Linked DNA regions of Ovis aries. Each later gene encodes a partner of the first gene's protein in a complex. Links are inferred from orthologs where the notes say so. Each region holds a gene or a part of one and is shown in the gene's direction. Other genes may lie near its edges.

Region 1 (3,907 bases):
CGAGTTGGATACTAGTTTCCTGATTAGCAGATGAGAGAGGTTGAGACTCAGAGAGGTGTAGCTACTGGCCCAAGGCTAGAAATTAGGTGAGCTGGACTGTGGGTACCAGGAGGAGCCTAGAGGGAAAATGCTGGGCTCTCGTTTTGGCTATTTATCTATATCACAAGATGGGAAGTCCAGAGTCAAGATATAACCCAGGAATACAGTGTGTTTGGGAGGGTGAGAGTCAGTTGTTTAATCAGTTTTGTCCTCATATTTTATGTCGAGGATTGTCAGCAGAGCCCTGAGTGAGGTGGGTGACTTTCCCCAGTTGTGATTAGTCTGGAGGGAAGGTTGGTGCTGGGTCCTGCTCAGTCAGGAATGATGCGTGTGGTGAGGTAGGAAGAGGGGTGTGGTCTGGGGCCTGGCTGGACAGCGCACTGGAGCGCCAAGCGCCTTCATATCCAGTTTCTCGTTTTGTTCCTAAAACTCTCTCGAAGGAGAAGGGCAGGACTTGGATTTCCTCTACTCTTCAGAAGGGGAAGCTGAGTCCCAAAGGAGTAATCAGTGTGCCTGTCCCACACTGGAAAAGAGCACAGTCACTCCTTGAACCCAGGTCTCCAGGTTCTAACTCAGACCATTGGCAAATGTTATTAATAACTGAGAGGAGTTTTAGAAATATATATGACTTCAACATATTAAACCATAGAGTATTATTTGTACTCAACTGCTATACTTCACAGGACAACACTGACTTATTAGCCTGTCCTGAAGTGGGAATTTAGTGGAGAATCTGTGCATTCACACAGGTACACAGGCATTTTCTCTTTCTCACGTGTACACACAGCTCACACGAGTGCTTCGGGGAGAGTGTTGGGCAGGGAGTTAGACATTAATAGGAATGTAATTTTCTCTTGCTGCATCTCTTGGTCTGTACCAGTATTACATAGTTTAAATTTTAATTTAAAAGTATATTGTTCTAACACACAGAACAAGTCACCTTAGTGAGTGCAAGGATTTTGTCCTCCTACCAAGATAAATTGCTTCTTGCAATCTCATCCTCCTGGTGAAACAGAAATTGATTTGTCTGCCAAGCATAAGTGCTTTGTCTAGCCACCTTCCCATTTCCCCCCTTGCTCCTTAGTCAGGAATATCAAACAATAGTGTAGGGGTTAAAAATAGCGTATCCCTGAAAGGAGAAACCTTGAATGGGTATTTTTTCAGCTGACATAGGGTTGAGATGGTTGATGGGAGTTAGAGGAGATGCCTTCATGGCGCTCATCAGAAATATTCCCCCTGACCCCCTTGACAGAGGCTTCTGTAAGCATGTTCTGCATGGCAGAAGTGCTGTGCGGTAGCACACCCTGTCAACACGGAGGACAGACTGGGGGTTTATTTATCTTCTCCATCCTGAATCTGAAGCTATTTCGGCTGCCGCCTCCCTCTCCTCATCTCCTTACCACGACATCACAGCCTGACTGACAACTGGGGACAAAAACAGGAAAACCAGGATCTTTAGCTACCAGCTGTCCTGAAGAATCTCTACGTAGAAAAAGGGACAGTGAGGCTGAGAGATGAGGCAGAAGCTCCCAACAGAGCAGAGATGGTGTATTTTAGAGACTGGGATTGCCCTCAGGAGCGTCTTGTCTCCTCCACACCGCTGGCCTGTCTCCTCCCTTGTGATGGATAACTGGCCAGGCAGGTGGTTACCTCTGAGCCAGCACACACTCCAAGAGTAGCTTGGGTCCTGGGGGAGCCTGTCTGAATCAGGGTTTTGCTTTCTGTCTCAAGAGCCAAAGGGCCGGTTGAGAGGGCTCTTGAGGCAGAAAACAAAACCAGGCTCAGTGATAGAAGAAGAAATAATTTTACATTTGATGCAGTAAAGTCTTGATGGTAAAACATTGTTCTTAGCCTGAGAATCTCTTTCTGACTTAAAATAACTGCAGATTTTTCACATATTGGTTGCATTCTTGGTGTGTCTCCATTAAGAAAGTACATATTGACCAAAAAGAAATCTTTTGATTAGGTAACCTTTTAAGTAGATTTGCATCTGGTGGTATTTATTTAGCCTGCAGCTAGTATACATCCTTATTATACACTTATTACAGTGTAGATCCTTATTATAACTCCAGGGTCCCCCATAGAACTGAGACCTCGGATGAAGTAGGACCCCCACACCCAGCACACACACACACAGAATCCCACTGCATTCTAAGGCTACATGTTAAACCCAAATGTTCAAATCTCTCTGGGAGAGCTCAAATACCAGTTTCCTGCCCCTTGCCCAACCTCACCACCATCCTTAGGCCAAAATGATGCTCTTCGATAATAGCTTACAGTACTTTATTATAAAAATAGGTGATGGTCAGCAGAAAGTAATACAACATTGTAAAGCAATTATCCTTCAATTTTTTTTTTTAAAGTTTAACTTGAATGTAATCCAATAGATCAATATTTTTCTTTAGGATTGCACTTTTTGTTTTTGGTTAAATAAATCTTTGCCTATTCCAAGATAAAGAAAAAAAATAGATGATGGTACTCCGAGGTTCTTGTGCATGGCTCAGAAATTGTAAGGGGATCTTACAGCAGATCAATTCCAGCCACTCTAGCCCAGAGTGCACACAGAGCACTCCATTCACACGCTTTGCCTGCCTGGGTGGTGGATAGAGTACAAAACATGTTGAAGACAATGTTTGGGTTCCTGTTGGAGAATATCTTTCTATATTTGTTCTGTTTGCTGTTGTGAGCCTTTAGCCAGACAGTCTGCCAGCCTGGCTGCAGCAGGGGCCCTTAAATTTTCCATCTCCCTGGTGCCTTGTTCCAGAGAAGATCTAATATAGTTCACCAGTGAGAATATGTTGAGCCCTGGTGACGCCAGGCCATAGCTTTACACTGGGTGTTTGGGGTGCTTTTTGAGATAAAGCTTCTGTACTGCTTTGAGGAGGAGCCCAGGACTTCAGAGGAAGTAGGAGGCAGAATCATGAAGGATGCTTGCTCTGTTTGGTCTTCCTGGGGAAGGAGCCCTGAACCCCGATGGAGGTGAGGGTGTGCTGGTGGGTTACAGGCGGAATTTCAGCTACGCTCCAGTTTCATGCCAGGGTCCAAAACACCCTCCCACCCCTGGCCACTTTGTCTGTTCCAGGGAAGCTGTATGCTGTCGGGGGCTATGATGGGGCCTCTCGCCAGTGCCTGAGCACCGTGGAGCAGTACAACCCAGCGACCAATGAGTGGACATATGTGGCGGACATGAGCACTCGCCGCAGCGGCGCAGGTATGGGGTGGGGTAGGGAGTTGGGGTTCAGGGGGCAGGCCGTGTTTGTTCTCACCGGTGGGTCTGGAGGCCAAAAGCTTAACGTTCTACCTTATTTTCCCTCCCTCTTGTCTGCTTTCAGTGTATGTAATCCCACTCGCACCTTTGCAACGAGTTAACCTTTCTCAGGGGGATCCCTCTGTAGAGAACCAGTGGGATCATATTCCCTTCATTGTCATCTCTTCCATTTGTTTGGAGGTGTCCACATCTCTTGAAAGTGAAACTTGCTGTGTGCCGGGTGCTGTCCTAATAAGCACTTTCTATGTCTCATTTATGTTTAATCCTCATCACAGCCCTGCAGGGGTTCACCATATAGCTCACACCATGTAACTCCACTTAGCAGGTTTAGAAAGTGAGCCATCCAGGGGTTAATTAGCCCAAGGTCCTGTCATTCATCATTTTCATTAGTCACTGGCAGAATCAGGATTCCTACTCAGGTCTGTCTCCCTTCAAAGTTAGCTTTTTCTGACCTCAGATGATCTGAATCTCGTTCTTATGAAGTCCCAGTCTTCCCTGGAAAAGCTAAAGCTTGCCTGTCTTTGTCTTAGGGGGTCAAAAGTCAGGTTTGTATTTGGAGATAAACTGGTGTCTCTTCCCCAACTTTTCTTCACGTCAGCC
Region 2 (4,463 bases), on another chromosome or scaffold:
TCTTAAGCTCTGTTTTATTAGCAAATACCAGAAAACAAAACAAGAAAATGTTTTCAGTAGGGCATTTCAACCAAGTAAGGGGTGAAAGCACAACACTGGTGAATCTAGTTATCAGGATTAAGTTAATTTAGGGAAAATCCAACCTTACAGTGAACAAATCAAAAAGGTATATTCCAGTTCATTTATCAAAAAATAGAAAATAAAACCCCCCAGCTTCCAAATATTTAAAAAGAATTAAACTTCAGCTTAAAAGAAGGCATTAAGAATAAAATTTAAAAGTATTAACATTCTATTAATATTCATTCCAACAATAGGTTCTTACTTAAAAATGATATCACAAACTTTAGTGGGAACTCACATATTCCTCTGCAGTCAGAAATCCAACTATAACAATACAAAGAGGTAAATTAGGGTGTAAAATTCATAATGAAAAGCAAAACTGATGAATCAAACTAGACTTTTTGAATGCAATGCCAAACTTTTATTCCCTCAAATTATCAGCAAACTGAAAAGAAAGACAAAAATTTTGGCTTTCAAAATGTATCATACTCTTAAAATGACTTGGCAGGTTAAGGTTAGGTTTCCATTATTCTATTTTCTATTTAACACCATTTACCAAAATATTGCACTGAGTTAAGGGAGTTGTTATTTCAAAGGCAACGAAACACAAATTTTAATACTAGTAAGTTCTAGGTCTCTCAGACAACAGTGAATCAGTTTAAGGAAATTTTACGGATTTCCACCCCTCAATCTTGACAGCTGGAGTGTGCACATCCAATCCGAATACCTTGTTAGGCATACAGGACTCTACTTTCTGACACTGCATATATTAATAACTCCTGCACAAACTCTTCTTTCAACTTTCTGGCTTCTGGTCAAGTACCCATCCCTAGTCCACCTGCCCTAGAAAAACACAGGAACCAGTTTCAGGACGTGGTTATCCACCTAGCACCCTACGCTCCACCCCGAGACTACCCTCCTCTCGCTCTAGCCCAGCCCAGCCAAGCGGAGCCGAGCACTGCCTGCTACAGTCCGGCTCCGGCTCTCGGAACTTCCCCTGCCCACTCCGTCCACGTGAACAAGACCCCGCCCCCTCGCCCGGCGCTCCACCAATCAGCAGCCCCCTCACCCAGGATCCGGTCTTCAACGCTCCTCTTTCAAAAAGTCAGCTCACTCCTCCCGCCTCAGTCCCGCCCCTTTCCTACCTCTCCGCCCCGCTGGCCCACCTTCCCAAATCCCCGTTCCCTTCCTCCTCTCCCGTTGCCCCCTCCCGCTCGCAGGCTTCGCCCCGCCCCACCCGGGAAAGCGCGCTCGCCCTCTTCTCGCGAGATTTGAGCGTCCCCCTCCTCCTGCCGCGGCCGCCCGCCTCCCCCTTCTGTCCTCCCCCCCTCCCCCCAATCTCTCCACTCTCCGGCTCTCCTCCCTCCCTCCTCCCCCCTCCACCCTCTGGGCCGGATCTCGTCTCGCTGAGGCGGAGGAGGAGAAGGAGGAGGAGGAGGACGTTCGGCCTGCGCAGTGAGATGTTTGTCCGTCGCCGCCGCCGCCGCCATCGCGGAGGAGCGCGATAAAGGGAGCCGAGCCGGGCGTGAGGGGGACCCCGCGGAGCCGCCGCGCCAGCGCAGTCCCCCAGCCGAGCCCGAGCCGCCGGAGACCGAGCCGCCGCTGCCCCCGCCGCGGCCGCCCAGGGGCCGGCCAGCTCCCCAGCCCAGCCCGGGGGCCGCGCCGCCGCCGCCGCCCCCAGCGTCGCCCCTCGCCTGCCCGCCCGCCTTAAATGTGACACCGGCGCCTCGGAGTGCGACCTGAAGCCGCCGCCGGGGAGGGGACGAGCACCATGTCGAATCTGAGCAAAGGCACGGGCAGCCGGAAGGACACCAAGATGCGGATCCGGGCCTTTCCGGTGAGTCTCTTCTCGGCGCCTGGGACCCCGGGTCGGGGGGCCCGGCCGACAGCCGCACGCGAGGCCCGGGCTGAACTCCCCCCCAACAGGCCGCAGGCCCGGCCTCCCATCCCCCACGCCGCCGGCCGCGGGGCGCGAGCCTTCCCGGCAACGGGGCGGCGCGGGGCCCCGGCGCGGCCACCCTCCGGGGCCGTTCCCCGCGCCCCCGGCATCCGAGGCCGGCGCCGCGCCCCCGCCCAGGAGCTGCGCCTCCGGTCGCCCCGCGGGCGTCGGCTGCGGCCGGGGCCCCTCGGCCGGTCCCGGCACCTCGCCGCGCTCCTGGGGTGTAGGCCCAACCCCTAGCACCCCGCTTCTGCTCGGTCCCCGGGACTCCCAGCCCTGCAGGGATGGGGATCGTCTACGTCCTCCTGGTGTGGGGCGTGTGTGTAACTTTTCACGTGAGGTTTCGCAGCAGTTGAAAAAAAATCACCATGCCTAAAGGATGGCCTGCTAAAAGATGCCGGGGACGGACCTCTCCCGATCTTCCCCTCCCCAGGAAGGGCTCTGCCGTCCACCTACCCTCTACGCGGTGACAGACGTTCCGCGTAATGCTCTGTAGTAATACACTAACAACGTCGGTGTGTTTACAGAATCTTTCATCCGCAACCTTCCAATGCACTTTACAAACTCTCCTGTGCAGGAATGGCCTAGCCACTCAAGGGGAAGTAAGACAAAACAAATGAGACGATTGGTTCTTCATTTCCTAGCCACGGAAGCCCAAAAGAATAAGTAGTCACCACCGTGAGTTGCTTTACTCTAGGTTTTAGTGACAGCAAAAGTATTTTTGTTTAGAAACTTTTTTGGCCTTAAATTAAGTCATACCCCTGCGGTGTTTAGTATTATATGGTATAACTTTGGATGTCGTATCTGAATCAGATAGCCAGTGGCAAGCAATTAGAGTGTACTCTTGGGACAGAGAAACTGGACATACTTGCTCATGTCGCTTCTGTAACAGGTAGACGTCAAGGTGGACAAACTAGCAATTGAATAGAAGATTTTAAACCAGGAAAACTATAGAGAAGAAGCTGTGGTTTCCTGTCTTAGAATCACAAGCACGTTATATTGAGTGGTGGGGGGCGGTGAAGAGGGTTTGTATTCACTTCTTAAAGCATGCTTTTTCTAAAGTACAGTTTGCACTTTAGAGGAAAAATTAATATAATTGTCCTAGTTGAGTAAGAAACCGACCTAGAGAACTTGAGGACCTCCCTGAATTCTTAAAATTTAGAAGGAAAAAATACACCTGATGCAGAATTCCCAGATGGTAATAAAAATGTTAATACCTATGTGAAGACTCTTCGGACTTTATGTAAATAAAGATAGGATATAATCAGGAGAATTAGATGTTTTAATGCACATTAAAGGGATTTTGAATTTCGGAAGTTTTTTCCCTAAGTAATCGTGAGAAAGTACAAAGAAAGTAACAAGTGTTGACAGAAGAGCACTAATGAAGTTCACTTGCACGTTTTTCTTTATAAACAGTGAACTGGGTTTATGAATTTGTGAGTAGTGATAGTTTTCCTACTGAATCAGTTCCTATTAAATAAGCAGAATCTAGAATTATTCAGAATTTCAAATAGTTTTATACATTTTTAAGAGAAGTTTGCTATTCTTGAAGTCTGACTTCTAATACAGATTATTGTTAAAAGGTGGAATAGCTCACATTTGACATCAACTCACTGTTGTGGATATTCTGATTAATCAGCTTTATCTTTATCTATGTGTAATCAACTCTTTGATCTCTTGGTTTGCCTGTCCCTACCTGTTTTTCCACTCCTTCATTCTTTTAGGAAATACTGAGGACTGTGTGCCAGGTACTGTTCTGGGGTCTTGGGATGTATCAGTATAGCTTCAGAGAACAATATCCCTCCTTTCTGGATCTTGTATTGTTGGGAAGAAGCTGTGGGAGAGAATTTTGTTCTTTTAGCTAAAGAGTATCAGAGTGTGTGACAGGTTACCACACAGCACTGAAGCTGACTTTTTTTTTCAGGCGCATTATGATAATGAACTAATTCAGACCTTTTCTTATCTGTAATTTGTTGCCCTCTTAAGTTTCTCTAAAATCCTTAAATGAAGTTTGCAAGTAGCTAGTGTTTGATATTCAGTACTTAGTATCTGCTAATTTTTAAAAATGTCTGAGAGTTTTAAATTTTCTCATGGGTATTAACATCACTCATGAGTAGTTCCTACAGTGAGAACCATTGCATTTTTTAAATATATAAATGTAAAAATCATAGTTCTTTGAACTTTCATTAAGGATGGCTACATAAAACCTCAGTGGTGTGATTTCAGTGATTTATTTGGTAAATGAATACTTAAGAGTTTCAGAATTTTTTTTCCTTCCAGGTTAGCAGTCATTTACCTAACTGTAGTCTGCATGGATTGCAAGTCAGAAGTAATAAATGCCTGTTATTCCATGAAGAAAATATTTTGTGTGTATTCATGTGTGCACACTTAAAACTACTGTATTTTACGATTTGAGATAAACAACTACTCTAAGGGAAATTGTAGTGTAAGCAGAGGCCTCAAA
Region 3 (4,537 bases), on another chromosome or scaffold:
AAGTTTGTAGTTACCATCTCAGTGGGAGTCGGGACCTACAAAAGCTTGAAATAACTTGGTAACCTTTGATAGTGCCCTTTGGTGGTTATTTGGCTGTACTTCCTGTTTTCCCCATGTGCTGTGTGTGTGTGCTAAGCCACTTCAGTCGTGCCTGACTCTGTGCGACCCTATGGACTATAGCCCGTCCGGCTCCTCTGTTCATGGGATTCTCCAGGCAAGAATACTGGAGTGGGTTGCCGTGCCCAGCGACCCGCGTCTTATGTATCCTGCATTGGCAGGCAGGTTCTTACCACTAGCGCCACCTGGGATTCAGCAGGGAAAAGGAACTATCTTCAGGGACAGTGAGGGAAGACAGTTTGGGAGACCCCATCCGTTCTGCAGCTAATTTGGAATACAGAGACCTTTCAGGTAAGGTAGTTGCACTATTTGAAAAAATTACATCTTGCTCTTTCAATTTTAGCTACAGGTGGAATAGCTGAACCTCATAGTCCTGAATTTAGTTCCTCAGTGTCTCCCTCACTTGTCAAAAATGGAAAGGGGGTAGATTTATTAAGGGCACACACGGGTCTGGTTTCCTTGTATTTTCTGGCAATACTAGGATTAATAAGTGACCTTCAAGATGAAAGGTGCAAAGACAAGAAACAAGGGCTTCAAGGTCTCCCATCATTCCACTCCCTTTGGACTTCGGAAACCTCAGTTAAATTTATTGATTCTTTTTAAGAGCTGAGAAAGGCTGAGGTTCTGAGGTGTACAGGGCGAAAAAGAAAATGGTGGAAAGGAGAGATTAGTACAGCTCTGTGATGGGGCCCCGAGGTTGGGCATTTGAAAATATTAGCCTGGCATTTTGCACACAGCCTCCTACCCTCAGAGCATCCTGCTAAAAGCTTGAAGGGCATTCAGAAAGAAATACCACCCTTTAGGAGTTTTCTTCAGGGTCTCTGATACCAGATGCAACCTGAGGGATTGAAAATTTCATGGGCTCTGGAGTGAACACACCTGGGTTAAAGATCTGACTCTTCCATACATAGTTATGAGAACTTGAGCAAGTCATGTCCATTCCCCCCCCTCCCCCCAAGCCTCAGTTTCCTCCTCTGGAGAGTCAGGATTGCTCACGTGAGAGTGATAGAAACAATTCTGTATTGCACTTGATACAGTGCAGGAAGCAGTTCTTAGATAAAGTCACTGCGTGGAGGTTAACCTGCTGTGAAAGCTCAAAGAAGGTAGCAGTCACTAACAACTAACTAGTGAATCTGGGAGGTGGACTGCAGGAGACGGTGAGAGCCAGCCACAGGGGGAGGTGACCTTTTCGCATGCGCGCAATCTTGGAGCCCGGCGGAGCAGCGAGGGGGAGTGGCCAGGTTTCTGAGGGGTTGCTATGGCACCGAGGGGCCAGGGGAGGTTAACTGAGCCCTTAAAACATTATTCCCTCCCCCACCCTCCGCTGCCTCGGCCGAGGGCCATTGTTCCCGGCAAAATGGTGTCGGCAATCCCCCTCTTGGACAGAGGCCTAAGTAAGGCTGAGGTGGGAGTGGGACTGGAGGTGGGAACAAAAACTACAATTCCCAGGGTACACCGCACCCGCCCACGAGGCGCAGGGCACGTGCCCAGGCCTAGCGGTTACATGCCGTCAAAAATCCGTTTCATAGCTTCCCTTTTCCATCCCTGCTTTCGTGGTTGCCCAGCCCCCGCGCGCGCGCACTGCAGTCCTGGAGGGTAGGGGGGACATGCTATGGCTATTGCCGTCGCAGCGTAATCGGGAGACCGGTATTTGTAAATGTGTGCTTCGACTTCTAATCCCGAAGCCGGCAGGTATGGGTCTCGCGAGAAAAGTCGAGAGTTGGAAAAAGGGAGTTAGGGGTGGCGGGTGAAAAGATGCTGGCGAGTACCACATCTCGGCCGAGCAACCGCATTTAGAGGCATGTAGAGAACTGAGAATGGGCGGTGGGTATCTAGGAAGAAGTGTGTGCTTGGGTTTTCTTTTGAAGGGAAGAGGGTAAAGCAGCCGTGGAGAGCTTTTGAACACACAGATGTCACGCGTGGCTCCCCACATATTTTCTTTTTGGAAAAGAGCGAAGCCTTTCTCTTGACGAACATCCCTCTCTCCCACTGTGCTGAGGAGAGTGGGAGAGGAGTGCGCACGCTCTAGTTGGGTAGCCACTCGGCACCTCGCTGCGATAGGGGCAGTTCAGAGTTGGGGCTGCTCCGTCTGCTTTCTCAGCCCCTCCCCCCTCCTTTCTTCCCCTCCCTTCCTCGCCCCCTTCCGTCCCCCTCTATCTGAATTCCCTGACAGGAGTACGCGTGCGCCTGCTCAGCTCCCGGGCAAGCGCGAGCTTGGGCTCGTACCCCGCTCCCTTAACCCCGCCCTCTCTTTACCTACCGGCGGTAGCTGGCCGGGTGGGCTCGCGCTGAGACGCTCGCGCGCGCACGCGCACACAACGCGGAGCGGAGCGCGAGACATCTAGGAGGGGAGTAAGAAGCATCTGAGGAGGCGACAGAGGAGGCGGTGTGTGTGTATCTGCATGTTTTATGGTGTGGCTACTCGAGGGGCGAGCGGAGGCTTGAAAGAGGGCGAGGGAGAAGCAAAGAGTCTCCCTCAGCGAGAGCCTCTAATCTGGTGAGGGTCCCGAGCCGGCCGGGACGGTGGGAGTGAGGGAGGAGGCCGGGGGGCGTGTCTGGGATCCGGCTGAGAGATGAATGGGCTGGGGATGAATGGAGGGGAGGCAGCGGCGACCAAGAGTCTGTTCAGAGTAAGCGCGTTAGTGGGGGGCGGTTTGACCGAGGCAGGGTGATTGCAGTCGCCGAGACGTGTGGGACGAGGCCCGGCTCGGGTCGTTAAGAGTTGTCGGAGCTGTTTTCGGTGTGAGCCAACAGGCTGAGAGGAAAATTCGGAGGGGGAAAGTGGGGAAGGGCAGGTTTGAGGTACATTTTTTTGTGTGTCATTTTCGTTGAGGAGTGGCAACTTTGGGAGTTGATGGGAGACTAGGGGATGGGGGGTAAGGTGAGGCGGTTACGTGAGGGGACCGGGTGACGGTTGACAAAAAACTGAGTGATCATTTAAGTGAGATTGAAAGCGAGGATCGCGTCGGGTTTTGGAAGTTGAGTTTCAGTGTATGAGGGAAAGTGAATTTAATTTAGAGATTCGGTTGACGTGTGAAGGTCGATAGGACTGTATCCTTGTGAAGAATGCTGCTGGCTGGTTGTGTTAATGGGTTAGGTTCAAGGAGATTGAGAGGTGTTATTTGGGAACGGTGTGTTCTGTGACTGATCGGATGGGAAGGAGATGGTATGGTGAGGTTAGTATGAAAGTGGTGTACTGTACTGTAGGAGGTTTTGTTTGTCTAGTTAAGAACGGTGAAACATTTATGTAGTGGGTTGTGGGTGGATATCCTGCACGTGTGTATCTCCCTATCTTGAGAGTTGATAGACCTTGTTAAAAAGAGATTGAACCCTCAAAACAGATGCAAGTGGTATGGCTATTACTTCTTAAGAGTTACTGTGGACTGAAGCAATTGTATGATAAATAGCCTTTAAGTTGTGGAAATCATCTGTATAGTGATGATTGCACTCAATTTGGGGAGGCATTGTTACCTGTTTTTCATCTGTAGTAAACTGTAATACCAAGAGAACTTTAAAGAGGTCTCCATATATGACAACAAAACAGTAGGTGTCTTCTAGACAGTCTCTATCATTTGGGTTGATGAATTTAAAAATTGTTTTAAAGTCAGCACTCCAAAGGAAAGATACCTTGCATTAAAGGATAGCTAAAATACTGATTTTGAATGCTCAAATAATTATATGTGATTTTTTCCATTAATCTGAATTTACCTTGTTTGAAAATTGACACTTTTTGGCGTGAGTTTAAATCACTGCAGATTACTTGGACATGCTGTTCTCTAAATTCATATCTTCTGGTAAGGATGTCTTGTGATGGTCTCATTCTGTTCTGGGTCAAGATTAATAGTTTATGGGTTTCTAACTTTTCATGCTTACTTTTTACAAACTTTAATGACATATTCATTTATCTTGGAAATGTTGCAAATTTGAGAACTTTCCCATGCTCTTTTTCTTTTATTCTGCTTTGATGTTGGAAAGAGTGTAATCCTTGTTTTGGCTACCCAGAGTTTAAAAAGTTAATACTTCGTTCATATTCTCTTTGATTAAATGAATACTTAGTATACTAAGCAGTAGAATAAAAGTATAAAAGCACCATGAAAGTCTGGAAATGTTGCACCAACTCTAGCAGGCAAGCTGGTCTCCCAATTTCAAACTAGATGTTCTTGGAGTGGAAGAACATTCAAGTATTGAGGCAGGAGAGTGTAAGCATGGTATATTTGGAGAATGGAATGAGATAAGGCTGGAATCTCAGGTTGAGGCTGGAGTGAAGGACTACCCTGCAGAGTTAGGAGCCTTTGACTATTTACCAAGGAGTGAATAGCATAAGCAGATTTGTGGTGTTCATCTCTCTGGCTTTGCTTCTGATCCCGCCCCCTGCCCCCCCAAATCTGGAATTCTCTCTCTCCCTCCCATTAAATTTTAA

Evidence for each region. Proteins that work in one complex are often made in the same cells at the same time.
Region 2: the proteins of KLHL3 (region 1) and CUL3 are in contact, whole or in part, in a crystal structure (PDB 4HXI), measured with the Homo sapiens proteins. The link is inferred for Ovis aries from reciprocal best matches to the Homo sapiens genes KLHL3 and CUL3. Residues at the interface, in NP_059111.2 of Homo sapiens: Pro73, Tyr74, Ala77, Met78, Asp82, Met83, Ser84, Glu85, Glu92, Ile93, Lys94, Asp95, Pro125, Ser128, Leu129, Gln131, Met133, Arg136, Asp160, Val161, His162, Thr163, Thr165; in NP_003581.1 of Homo sapiens: Ile44, Asn49, Ser50, Gly51, Leu52, Ser53, Phe54, Glu55, Leu57, Tyr58, Arg59, Tyr62, Thr63, Leu66, Lys68, Met118, Asp121, Ile122, Met124, Tyr125, Arg128, Val129, Gln133.
Region 3: the proteins of KLHL3 (region 1) and WNK3 are in contact, whole or in part, in a crystal structure (PDB 5NKP), measured with the Homo sapiens proteins. The link is inferred for Ovis aries from reciprocal best matches to the Homo sapiens genes KLHL3 and WNK3. Residues at the interface, in NP_059111.2 of Homo sapiens: Lys312, Arg339, Phe355, Gly357, Arg360, Thr386, Phe402, Gly404, Ser405, Gly407, Ser432, Ser433, Tyr449, Gly451, Arg454, Cys456, Ser481, His498, Arg528, Tyr577; in NP_065973.2 of Homo sapiens: Glu537, Cys538, Glu539, Glu540, Thr541, Glu542, Val543, Asp544, Gln545, His546.

The regions. Positions count from the first base shown.
Region 1 is NC_056058.1:46,717,891-46,721,797, reverse strand, and holds part of KLHL3 (kelch-like protein 3), read left to right. Parts: intron 1-3,121; coding exon 3,122-3,250; intron 3,251-3,907. UniProt on the Homo sapiens protein: Substrate-specific adapter of a BCR (BTB-CUL3-RBX1) E3 ubiquitin ligase complex that acts as a regulator of ion transport in the distal nephron.
Region 2 is NC_056055.1:226,744,586-226,749,048, reverse strand, and holds the start of CUL3 (cullin-3), read left to right. Parts: upstream 1-1,545; 5' UTR 1,546-1,831; coding exon 1,832-1,897; intron 1,898-4,463. UniProt on the Homo sapiens protein: Core component of multiple cullin-RING-based BCR (BTB-CUL3-RBX1) E3 ubiquitin-protein ligase complexes which mediate the ubiquitination and subsequent proteasomal degradation of target proteins.
Region 3 is NC_056080.1:52,394,525-52,399,061, reverse strand, and holds the start of WNK3 (serine/threonine-protein kinase WNK3), read left to right. Parts: upstream 1-1,619; 5' UTR 1,620-1,809; exon of another isoform or gene 1,810-1,941; intron 1,942-2,430; exon of another isoform or gene 2,431-2,614; intron 2,615-4,537.